Linked DNA regions of Drosophila melanogaster. The protein of the gene in region 2 purifies or fractionates together with the protein of the main gene of each other region. This does not show direct contact. Each region holds a gene or a part of one and is shown on either strand. Other genes may lie near its edges.

Region 1 (5,974 bases), on a different chromosome or scaffold from region 2:
CTCAAGTTTATACGCAGCCTAGTTTGCAGATGCAATGTCATGATATAGGAATATAGCTTTGATCCTAATTTACTACCATAGTTATACTAAGTTACTCTTGGAAGCGATTTCGAAATATAAAATAATACATTTTAAATGATTCAAGCGATATAATTCTTAACTTCCTTAGATATGCTTAAAAATGTTTCAATATCTCCGTTGAAATACATTCTTTAAACATTTTCATGGGCGTACATTTCGTGTCCTGGTAGTAAAGAAATTATGAATGTCCTAGCACGAGCGTAGTAAATATATGTAAACTTGTAGTATGTGTAGAAACTGCCAAATTCTGACTGCCTCGGGATGCTGCGCCAGCACAGCGAGGGTTCACAAAAGGAGCTGCAAAGAGGGGCATCATCGGGAGCAGGGGCAGTGAATCGGGAGGAGAGCAAGAGGAGCAGCTGCAGCATCAGCCAACGACATGCGCAATTTGTAACACAAACCCAGTCTCTGCCAGCGCCCAAAAACTTTCTGCATTCTGCAGTAAAACTGCAAACCGAAGGTGGGATCCCGCCAAAGCCCGTGAATGTATCGCCGGACCCGTATTTTCCGTACATTCTGGTGGGAGGTCAAGAAACCGTGGCTGCTTTTTAAAGCCAGGGGAAATGACTCTCTCGTTCGCGCCGCTTGTTTCTCTCTGTCTGTTGCTTATTTACCCGAAAACGTTGACAAAAAAATTAAATGGAAAAATCATCTGCTGTTTTTGGTGGGCATGGTCAAGGCAGAGCTCACTGTCTGCATCTGGATACAACCATATAGTCTGCTTGACGGTACATATGTATGCACCGTACATGGGCTGTGGCTGCCATTCTGGGAGTCTGGGATACCGGCTTCTACATTCCTCGCATCTCTATTCCGTCTCCAGACATAAAGGAATCATAAAACTGTAAAATGTTATTATTCAATTTTATGCTGGGGAATAACCATAAAGGTTCTGGAAAATTCTGGCGCACAATTGCAGCGCGACTATTCAAATAATAAGCAATTAGGAATCGAAATCATTAGAGCAGGATCAGATTTTCCGCTTTGGTTTCCAATTGCTTAGGAATAAAGGGAAGCATTAATTTTTGTAGTTAAGCCCTCTATTAAGCTCCTTATTAAATATTCATTTTGATACTTTAACTGCTTCAATATGTAACTCAACTTAAAATTATATTTAACTTAAAATTTATAATTCAATGAGCTGGAAAATCAAAGTGGATTTGTTATTTCAACTGCTTGATGTTTGATTAGCATATTAGCATATTCAGTTTTTAACAATTACCAAAGAAAATATACATTACGAATAAATACTTTACTTACCTTGCTAAAATAACCAACAATATGACATCCATCCACATCGGCCAGCGTCATAATGTAGAAAAGGAAGGGCTCCACATCGTAGTAGAGGGTTTTGTGATCCAGAAAGAATTTTGCTAGCAGGCACAGATGCTGACAGTATTGCTTATAACGTTTCCCGTCCACCTGCCACACCTGTAGTTTGCCCTTGCGGTATATCTCATCGCCCGGCGGATGCCGCCAGACGCATTTCTCGGCATGCCGCTTGATGCCCGTCTCTGATTTTTGGTAGCGCAGGCAGAATTCGCAGATATACATTTTGGGCAGGCGGGCAGCATCGTCCGGATAAGGGGATTGATACCAGACCTTCATCTTGTACTTGCCCATGCTGATATATCTGTCAGACGTAAGGGTTGTAAATTGATCTCCATAAGTTTGTTATATTACTACTACTTACTTTATTCCCTTTCCCACGGGCAGGTCCTTGAGTTCGTCTTCGATCCTTTCGGATGCTTGAGCTTGCGCTTCCCGGAACAATTGCAAATCATAGTCAGGCACCAGGCCTGCCAGATTTGGTTCCCGGTCCTCGTCCGTTACGTCTTTTTCCAGCTTTACCTGAAGCGTAATCAAATAGTTAGCAATAGTCTCATATGGACTTTCAAGCTAACCCACTATCCTCACCTTCGAGTCTAAAAAATTGTTATTCGCCGGCTTAAAGTTAGCCCTTGACTCGCGAATCTTGGCCAGAAACTCGCGCTGCTCAGGCGAGAGCGTCTTGAGATTGGTGTTTTGGTTACCCGGCGCCGTCACAATGTTAACCGGCATCTTTAGTCGCTGTTCATTCCTCAGTTTTCTCTCATTGGCACGCTCTTTGCACTCCGAGGCGGACATGTTGTGATAGATAGGACAGGCCTCCGGCAAAAAGTGCTTATCCAAATTGCCACTCAGATGTCCGGATGAATCGCAGCCCTCGATGGGACACTTCTTCTCAGTCTGGGTAATCGGTGACACGGGTCGGGATTTAATGGAGCTCAGCACGCCACTGCTGATTCCGATTGGTTCCCTTTTCACTTTGCTTTTGCTGGCGTTCAAATTCGAGGGCGCTGGCTTTTTGGCGGGACTTTTGGAGATCATAATTTTGTCATCTTCTAGGTCTCCATCGGATTCAGAATCGGTTTCCTGTTTGGGTTGCTGTTTTGTCCTTCGCATGCTGAGTGATCGCGTCAGTTTCCTCATGGGATTGGCCTTGTCTTTTCGCTCTTCTTCGCTGTCGGAGTTTTGGATTTTTGTTGGTCCGCTTCTCTTACCTATAATAATAAGAGTTAAATTTAAATATTATTAAAATCCTTACATAAATTCTATACTTTATACCCTGCCTACCTTTAGCTCCTCCTTTTACTGGCTGCGAGCTGTAGGAGTTGCTGGAATCACTTCCCTCAGACTCGCTTCCTGAACTTGATTCGTCGCCCGAGTTGGAGCCACTCTCGGAGCCCGAACTTCCGTCACTGCTGATCACCGGTCCCCCGCCGTTTTTCTTTGCCGGCGGCAATTTTCCTCGGATTTGTTTGGGCCTCACCGTGCTGGCCATTTTGAGGGGAACCTTCCGCCCGTTTTTAACGATCTTCATAGAGTCATCTGTGCTATTGGACGAGGAGGAGAGCGAGGGTCGCTTGCCCTCGCCGTTCTCCAGTGATCGATTTGTGTTGTTGTTGGCCGATCGCTGGGTAGGATTGCTCGGTTTGTTAGCGGGATTGCTTGGCTTGTTGACGGACGCGGGTGGTTTTCTCCTGGCTGCTGAGGCGGCAGCTGCCGCTGTTACAGTGGAACTGCCCATTGCACGTGAGTTCTTTTTGGCCGGCGGCGCCGAGTCCTCATATTCGTCGTCATCGCTGGAGAGTTTACTTTTGGGAGGATTGTTTACTTTTTTGCTAGATGGCGCTACGCTCGGCTTGGGTTTATCCTCCGACGCCGCAGGAACAGGCTTTCTTCTCTGTGCATTTCCGGAATTAGTTTGTTGTTGTGTTTGCGTCTGGGATTTGGCGGAGGAATTCGTGGATGGCTTCTCCTCCGGCGTCGCACTGCTGGAATCCGTGTCCGAGCTGCTGCCCGTTTCCGAACTGGTGGATCCGCTTGTGGATGAGCTGCCCGACTCCGAGCTGCTGCTGCCGGACTCCAAGGCCATTTTTGTAGCGCAGAATGTTTTTTTTAATATTTGTACACAAAAATGCCTGTTTTCCTGTATTGTTTTGATTAGAGTGGCCAGAGGTGGATGCCAAGCGGAACGCCATGGGAATCGGCCGGAGCTATCGGCTTATAATATGCTAGAGATGTGCAACTAGGGCACAAAAATATCGTATTCCAAAAATATTTTAGTTAGCAAATATTAATTGAAATACGAACCTACACAGTTTATTGCCTTGTTTAATAGGAGTTTTTAAAATTGATATAAGCCAGTTTTTGTGATTAAAGTCGAAAATTTCTTTATTCATTTGTTGCTTATAAAGAGTGCTTGTCGAGTACGATAAATTTAATAATCTTAACGAGGAATCAATCTTAATTTACGACGTGCGGGGAACCAAAACCAGAAAAACAAATAAAATAAATTCGATAACAGCAATCTCTTAAGCCTATTACTCATTTCAGCCAATTTATTTACGGCGCCATGTCGACTTTTTTGACAATTTGAAACGAAATAATTTCCTATCTGTGGCAATCACTTGTTGTCAAAAAAAATTGCCCTTAAACCCTCTCACAAAGAAAAATTATTGCTAAAAGCGTTATTAAATGTTCCCATCAATTTTTGCATCAAATGCAGTAAAGTGAATTATAGTATTTGTGGTTTTGTTGTAATATTCATTCATACATGTGTTGATACTTTAAAACTAAACATCACTGTCTGATTGGCAAATGAAATGCATAACGTCAGTGGTACAGGACAGAACGATCATAATGTTTTCGTGCCCAAAAACGTAGGCGCAGTGCTGGGTAGGATTATTGTATTTGGGTTCATTTTTGCGCCACTTGAAGTAGGTAGCTCGTTTGCCGGAGGCCAAGGATATAAACTCGCCCTGCTTGGCCAGATCGTTGACACCCAGCCAGTAGTTCGCCTTGTTCAATTGGCCCACTATGGCGTTGTATTCCTCGGCATTTTGGAATGCTGCGAGGTGGCCGCCCATTTCAATGCACCTCTGCTCGGCGGTCCTCCAGTTCACCTGTAAGTTGTGTTCGATGTAGAAATATCTCGATCCTATCTGTTGATATCTCTGCAGCACGAGTTTCCTTTCGATATCGGATAGAGTCTTCTGGATGGCTGTCAACTGGTTTTCCGTCCTCTTCTGTCCATCTTTCAACTGATTACTCAGCGCTGTCTGATTGCCTTCGATATCCTTTAGTTTTTGCTCAAGGTCCTCGGTTTTGATTGCCTTCGAAATGTTGTTCACAAGGAATGCTTGCTGGGCTTCTATTTGGATTTGTGTCGCCGTCAACTGGTCTTCGATCTTATCCAGTTTCGCGACGCTTCCATTAAGTTTCACCTCGCAGGCTCCCCAGTCCTGTTGCTCCTTCGAAAGGTGATCGATGACCGGCTGCAGTGCGGATACGCAATATTCACTGCACTGATTGGGAGGATCTGATAATAGACACACATAGCGCCTGCCCTCCTGGGCTTCTATCAGGGATCCGTAAGGATACAGCAATAGAAATGCGCACAAAATAATTCTCGTAGAGCTAAACATTTTGGACAACCACTGAGGTTGAAGCTTGATAAAGAACTGATACTGAAGTAATTGGCTCTCTTTTTAAAGGCCCGGCAATATGGTTGATAAGCATATTTGATCTTCTTATTAAAATTGTCACAAGAAATTTGATGTGGTATCATAAGTTATCATTATTTGTAAAGCGTTGTCAATATGGTATGGTAGTAAAGTAGATATGTACTTCAACTTAATGACATACTTCATTTCTGAAATCAGCGCTAAAGTCGATATCCTCCACTATTAGATCACTCAGCTAGCGGGAGTGCGTATATATAAAGAATTTAACAAATTAAATAATAAAATCAAAATATATTGGGCGTGTCCATCTTCTGAAACAAACTTGCGTTGCGTTTATAGGATCTGCACGCTCGATCTTATCTTTATAGCTTTTATGGTAACCAAAATCACAAACGGAAATGGCCAGATCAACTAATGATCCGAAATGAGAATTCCATTTACCTGTTGCATATTCATCAACGAATGAGGTATACTTTTTTTCTCTACGAGTAACGGCTGTAATGTTAGATAATCATCACTTGATTAATTAATGTCAACTTGTTTGCTCTTCCAGGAATTTCTTTTTTGTGCCCACTTTCACCGGTTTATTGAACTTAACTGCTCTGGAGGTTTCCAATTAAATTATCTGGTTAATTGTAGATTTTATCTACGCCCCTATGTTGAAATAATCGAAAGCTAGCACAGTCAGAAGAATGATATATGTAGAAATTTAAAATGATTCACATCTGCCGGAAATGATAAAGCTTTTTTATCTAGGGTGGTTCCCTAATTTAGTGACCACAATTAAATTTGTTGCTTGTGTGTTAGTTTTTGAATTACTTATAGGGTTTCTAATCACGAACTAACAAAATTGATAAAGTAATGTTTGCTTGTAAATATAAAGT
Region 2 (6,077 bases):
TACATAAGGCAAAATATTTTTGCCATCTCGCTACAAAATATATATCCAATTTGCACAGCACTTGGAATCCTTACCAGACGCAAACTTCCAATGGCGGCCCAGGGTTTCGTCATTTGTTGAACGCCGCGAAGCGTGGAGCGTTGCAATAATGGTAGCACCATCTCTATGCTTATTCCTTAGTCGGTAATTAATAAATAAGTTTGCAAGCAAGTGATCTTTCACGGACGAGCCCACCACAACAACACCAACAACAACAAAAAACAACAACAGCACCTCGATGCGCGGGTGAGAGCTATCGGACCATCGATTGTTCTTATCGACTTTGTAACGATTGCTGCCTAAGTTCATAAAAATTGAGAAACAAAAATCCTAAACATTTTTAAGAAACACCTAGTTACCTTAGTACTAACTGTAAATTCCTATTCCATAGCTAACAAATTTAAAATCTGTTGATAGTTCTATTTGTTTTTTTTGAAACTACAACTATCGATAGCAGACCGTTGCGGCACTGTATCCTATCGTTTGTGTGCCATCCGCAGGCGAACAGCTGTTTTTTCGGGAATCGTAACTTCAGAGGAACTTTTTTTTAGTGGAAACAAGCCTGCAATGTCGGCGTTTGTGAAAACCGTGTGCTTGGCCCAAAAGCTGTGCGCCGCCAATCCCGTCGTGGCTCGCCAGGCGATCCGCAGCAGTAAGTGTGAATCGGGGCTGCGCTGGCAACAGTGCAACCTGCCCCACTGTTTTGTTTACGTAACTTTTGCATGCACCGAATGGCTACAAATTCGAATTTCTCGCCATTTACGTTTTAGTGGCTGGCTGGAATAAGGACTACAAGCCGGGTCCGTATCCACAGACGGAGAAGGAGCGCCTGGCGGCGGCCAAGAAGTACTATCTGTTGCCGGAGGAGTACAAACCGTATGCGGACGATGGTCTGGGCTACGGAGATTATCCCAAATTGGGCTACGGTCTGGGTGTGGAGGCCAAGGACTCGTACTATCCCTGGGACTATCCGGAGCACAAGCGCAACCAACACGAGCCCGTAAGCGCCAACATCAACGGCTAGCAGCAGCTGCTGCATAAAAAAAGAGTCAAACCCTGATCCATTTCCATTGCAGATCTCGGCGGATCATGATCTGTACAGCGAGGATCGCTGGTCGCAGGCCGAACCGCCACGCTACAGCAATGCGTACTACTTTGCCTGCTTCCTGGGCGTGATGTCCGGCTGCCTGGCACTCTACTACTGGCTGGATGACAAGAAGATGTACCGCCCCGTGGCCGCCAAGCAATATCCCAGCCCTGGCGTCAAGCACTACACCTTCGAGAAGTAGGATTGTATCTATCACGCTCTCGATCGCACTGCGCGCCTCGTTTTTATTTCATAGGCAATTAATCAACGCATCTATACAATTAAAATGAATGGAAACCAAGCTAAAACATGGATTTGCTATCATTTTGACTGCGCATGTTGGGTTGCATTTTTCATTCCGTTCTTAATGAGCAGCAAAAAACGAAATGAATCTTGAGATGAACGTTTATTTCGGCGAAAACATGAATGATTTGGAACGTAACTGAACCAAGAAATCCTTAATGGATTTCAATAATGTCTCTAAACTATAAACTTACTGCCTAAATACATTGTTTGTTTGGGTGAGCAAAAAAAAGCAAGACGCGGAAACAGAAACTTAACCAGCTAGATTTAGGGCATAGTAATAAACTGTTGATCGGCTGGGATCACTCCACAACGTAGTTGGGATGCACCACCAGCAGGGGATCGTCCTCCTCCACGAAATCCTTTTGTACCTGAATTCTCGGCTTCAGCGTGGATGTCTTGAGCGGAATAATGACCTGATCGTGATAGATGAGGCGATCGATAAGCTTCTCGATGAGATTTTTGCGAGAAATTAACTCATCCTCGGATTCGATTTGGTCCGCCACCTGCTCCAGATACCAGGTGACCACATTGCTGCGCTTGATGCCCGTATCGTTGCCCTCCACCTCGCAGCGCGCCTCCTCGGCGCGCATATGCAACACCAGCATGGTGGACAGATTCTTGTAATCCTCGAACGAAAGCGTGAACTTCTTCTTCTGCACGGCGCCGCTGGCGGATGTGTCCATACCATTGTTCTCATCCACATTGGCCGCTGCTCCATTGTTCTCCATGTCGATGTCGTGCTGAATGCCATCGTCCATGTCCAGACCCTCGTCGTCATCTAAATGAATATCCGGTTGCTCCACGCGAATGATGGACTTGTTGAGCAAACGGAAGGCCTCCTTGACGTGTCGCTCCAGCACGCGATTCGAGCACTCCAGCTTGGCCATGGCCTCGCTCAGTCGAATCATGGACTCCAGCTGACGCACCGTTATCCTCCAGGTGCTCCTGCCCGACGTGCCCGTATCGCGCTGCCTCAAATGGCCATAGTTCTCGACCAGCATGTGTCCGGCCTCCTGGCTAATAACCGGCTTAAATTGCCGCGCAAATGTCACATAGCGAAGGACCTCTTCGCGCGTATATGCCCGCTCCACGGACTCCTCGATGTTCGAGTGCAGATCAACGATCTTGCGAGCAATGGCATAGTCCACCACCTCATTGCATTCGTCCACGAGAATGAAGAACAGATCGAATCGCGACATAATCGGTGCCGATAGCTGAATATTTTGTTGCAAACTCTTGGAGCGATCGTAGCGACCATTAATGGGATTGGCGGCGGCCAGAATCGAAGTGCGCGCATTGAGTGTGGCTCGTACGCCGGCGCGTGCAATCGATATGGTCTGCTGTTCCATGGCCTCGTGAATGGCCACCTGATCGCGCTGATCCATCTTATCGAACTCGTCAATGCAGCAAATGCCATTGTCGGCCAACATGAGGGCGCCCGCCTCGATGACAAAGTCAAAGGACTCCTCGTCGCGCACAACCGCAGCGGTTAAGCCCGCTGCCGAGGATGCCTTGCCCGAGGTGTAGATCGCACGCGGCGAGAAGTCGGATACCTGCTTGAGGAACTGTGACTTGGCCGTGCTGGGATCGCCAACGATGCACACATTGATGTCGCCACGAAGCGATGTCTTTTCGGTGGTGGTCTTCGCAACGCCACCGAATTGCTGCAGAAGAATGCCCCGCTTGACCTCATCGTTGCCGTAGATCGAGGGAAAGAGGCTGCTAATTAGATTCTGGTAGAGATTGCGATCCTTGGACATCTCATAGATCTTGTGCCACTCGGCATCTGTCATCTGCTTCTTCATATCCTCGGCTGTCACCTCCGACATGGGCAGATCGGTGCCGCCAAAACGTGCTGTCGTTGCCTGAACACTGCAGGCAAGGAAGGCCATCCGATAGTTGAGCTCTCGCATGCCCAGTGCCTTTAGGCCAGTGACGCCATCCATGCCCTCGCCGGGCTTGTGGCGTGAACTGTTCTCCGCCCGTGTGCCCACTCCGGCCAGGACACTCACATCGGGCACCACAATCAGAGTGCCCGTGAAATCATAGCGATCGCCAGCCTGAACGGTCTCCACCAGCTCCGAGCGCAGGATAATCTCCACCGCGCGGGGAATACAGCCACGCGGCAGCTCGGCTTGCGTCTCCTGGATGCGAATCTTTTGAAAGTCCAAGAACAGACTCTTCTCCACATCCAGCATGAAACGCTTGCGATTGGAGCACACGGGATTGCGGCAAATGGTGGGATTGGTGAACTTGAACTGCTGCTCTACGTTCCGAATTTCCGTCTGGCAATCGAGGCACATGAAGACGCCGGAAACAAGCTCCGGATGTACGGGATGGGTGCGCACCACCTGGCCGGAGATGCGGATGAGGGTGCCGATTTTGGAGGTGGTCAGATCGCGAACCTTGTGACGCGTCGGCACCTCCGTGAAGGCCACATAGCAATCCTTCTGGGTCTTCAGTCCAATCCGGTCCTTAACGTAGTTCGAAACGGATTGGCAAAGGAACGGATAGATGTGGTAGTACTCCTCGATAATGGCGGTGGCCAGATTCTGATCGTATTTCTCCACATCCTCGAAGCTGACCTCCAGGGTGCAGCGATCCGGGGATTCCAAGCTGGCGGCTGGGCGCGTGTACTTGATCTCGCCATCCTCCTTGAATTCCTCGAGGAAATCCTGAAACAACTTCTGGGCCCGAATGCCCACCTCGTCTTTTACGCGCAGCTGGCCAACCTGAGCATCTGCCACATCCATTTTGGGTCACTTCTTGCTTCAAACTGGTGAATTGCGCGCTAAATTCCGAGATTGCTTTCGTTTCTTGCGAATGTTTACAGCTGCGTGCTTTGCTCGGTTTTGGCGCCTTTTTCTGACAGTTGCTTGGGGGTGGCAACGCTCGTGCGCAGGGATGCCAGCTATTCAAGAGCAAAGGTAAACATGTCTTACGGTCACATTAATTTATTAGTTCAAATATATATAAAAATATATATTTTTTTAATTGCTGAAAGCTTACTTAAATTTCTTGCCCTTGCTAATCAACAAGTAGTTTTCGAATTTTTTGAATAGATCAAATAGTCCAAAAGTTGATTGAGATACGTTGTTTTAATAACTTAATCGGATAACTTAATAATCCAAGAGATGAATGACATGAATTATAAGAATAATTTTATACGAGTAAAGTATTAAAACATTCAACTTAAGTTGTTTATTTTATGAACTTATAGAATTTAGTACGTTTTTAAGACCGATAGTTCGCCCACTCATGTCGCGGAACGCTGTGCACCGATAGGCTTATTCCGAAATAATCGATACCACGCGAATTTCGTGAAATAATTTTATTGATTCTATTTTGGCTAATTTTTTGGCTAAACAGCAGGAGCACAGCGTTGCACGTGTGTTCACCTGTTCGCCGGCACCGTTGTGGCCATAGAAGTCGGTGTGGTACCATTGGATTCATTTGATTCACTGGGACCACCGCCCCCTTCGGAGTTTTGTCCCCACAAATTGCGAAGGAGCCCCGGAAAATGGTGGACGCCGCCAGGCAGATGCTCGACGAGCTGATGGGCAGGAATCGCAACCTGCATCCCTCGGAGGCGGGCGCCAAGGTCAATTGGGAGGATCCGGAGGTGAGTACGCTCAGGATGTGGCGCGCCAAAGAGCCACCTCCAAAATAATGGGGGTTTTTTTTTTTGTCCGCAGTTCTGTCAGTTCTACAACGTTAAGTTCTGTCCGCACGATCTATTCATAAATACGCGCGCAGATCTGGGCCCCTGTGCCCGCATCCACGACGAGGAAGCCCGACATCTCTACGAGGATGCTCGACCCTCGCAGCGGAAGCGTCAGTACGAGGATGAATTCCTGCGCTTTTGCAATGTTATGCTGCACGATGTGGATCGAAAGATCCAGAAGGGAAAACAGCGTTTGCTGCTAATGCAAAGGGATCAGCCCAATGTACCGGCGCCACTGAGCAGGCACCAGGAGCAGCTTGCGAATCTGACGGCCCGGATCAATAAGCTGCTCTCTGAGGCAGAGGAAGCCGGCATTCGGGGTGACGTGGACCAGGCCCAAGATCTAATGACCGTGTGCGAGGAGCTCAAGGAGGAGAAGGAACAGTTGGTACAGCAATACGAGGCCCATCACAAGGCCATCAGCAGCATCAGCCTGACCAAGTCAGCGGAGGACGAGCTGCAGCATCACCCGCGCAGCAGTCCGGTCACAAATCCCAGCGAAGAAAGTCCAACTACTCCTCTTCCAGCCGCCACCACGCTAGATGAAGCGCCGGATGCAGCTCCAAGTTCCGCACAAGCAGCTGTCACAACGACTGACGATGCCGGTGAAGCAGCTGGTGCAGCCAGCGAGGACAAAACGTCAGAGAAGACGGATAGCAAGGCGGCTGGCTGGTCGCATGATGCCATGCCCGAGAAACAAATGAAGGTGTGCGAAATCTGTGGCGCTTTCCTGATAGTCGGCGATGCACAGCAGCGGATCGAGGACCATTTGATGGGTAAACAGCATCTGGGCTACTCCAAACTGCGCAACGCCGTCGCCGAGATCAACGAGGCGCGACAGAAGGAGCGCGAGCAGGAGGAACGACGTCGACGTGAGGGTCGAGTGCAGCGCTTCCACTCCTACGATAGCAGACGGTAAGG

What was found. The genes of interacting proteins can lie anywhere in the genome.
Region 1: the proteins of Mcm6 (region 2) and chm purify together in Drosophila melanogaster (affinity purification with western blotting; one study listed by BioGRID). This does not show direct contact.

Annotation. Positions count from the first base shown.
Region 1 is NT_033779.5:7,410,032-7,416,005, reverse strand, and holds the start of chm (chameau), read right to left. Parts: upstream 3,590-5,974; 5' UTR 3,500-3,589; coding exon 2,698-3,499; intron 2,625-2,697; coding exon 1,999-2,624; intron 1,933-1,998; coding exon 1,775-1,932; intron 1,715-1,774; coding exon 1,342-1,714; intron 1-1,341. Other genes in the region: CG15818 (uncharacterized protein), read right to left, coding at 4,200-5,051.
Region 2 is NC_004354.4:6,672,614-6,678,690, reverse strand, and holds Mcm6 (minichromosome maintenance 6), read right to left. Parts: upstream 4,305-6,077; 5' UTR 4,186-4,304; coding exon 1,732-4,185; 3' UTR 1,515-1,731; downstream 1-1,514. Other genes in the region: Fum1 (fumarase 1), read right to left, coding at 75-161; ND-ASHI (NADH dehydrogenase (ubiquinone) ASHI subunit), read left to right, coding at 607-691, 810-1,039, 1,116-1,328; CG3198 (uncharacterized protein), read left to right, coding at 4,953-5,054, 5,128-6,071. UniProt on the Drosophila melanogaster protein: Acts as a component of the Mcm2-7 complex (Mcm complex) which is the putative replicative helicase essential for 'once per cell cycle' DNA replication initiation and elongation in eukaryotic cells.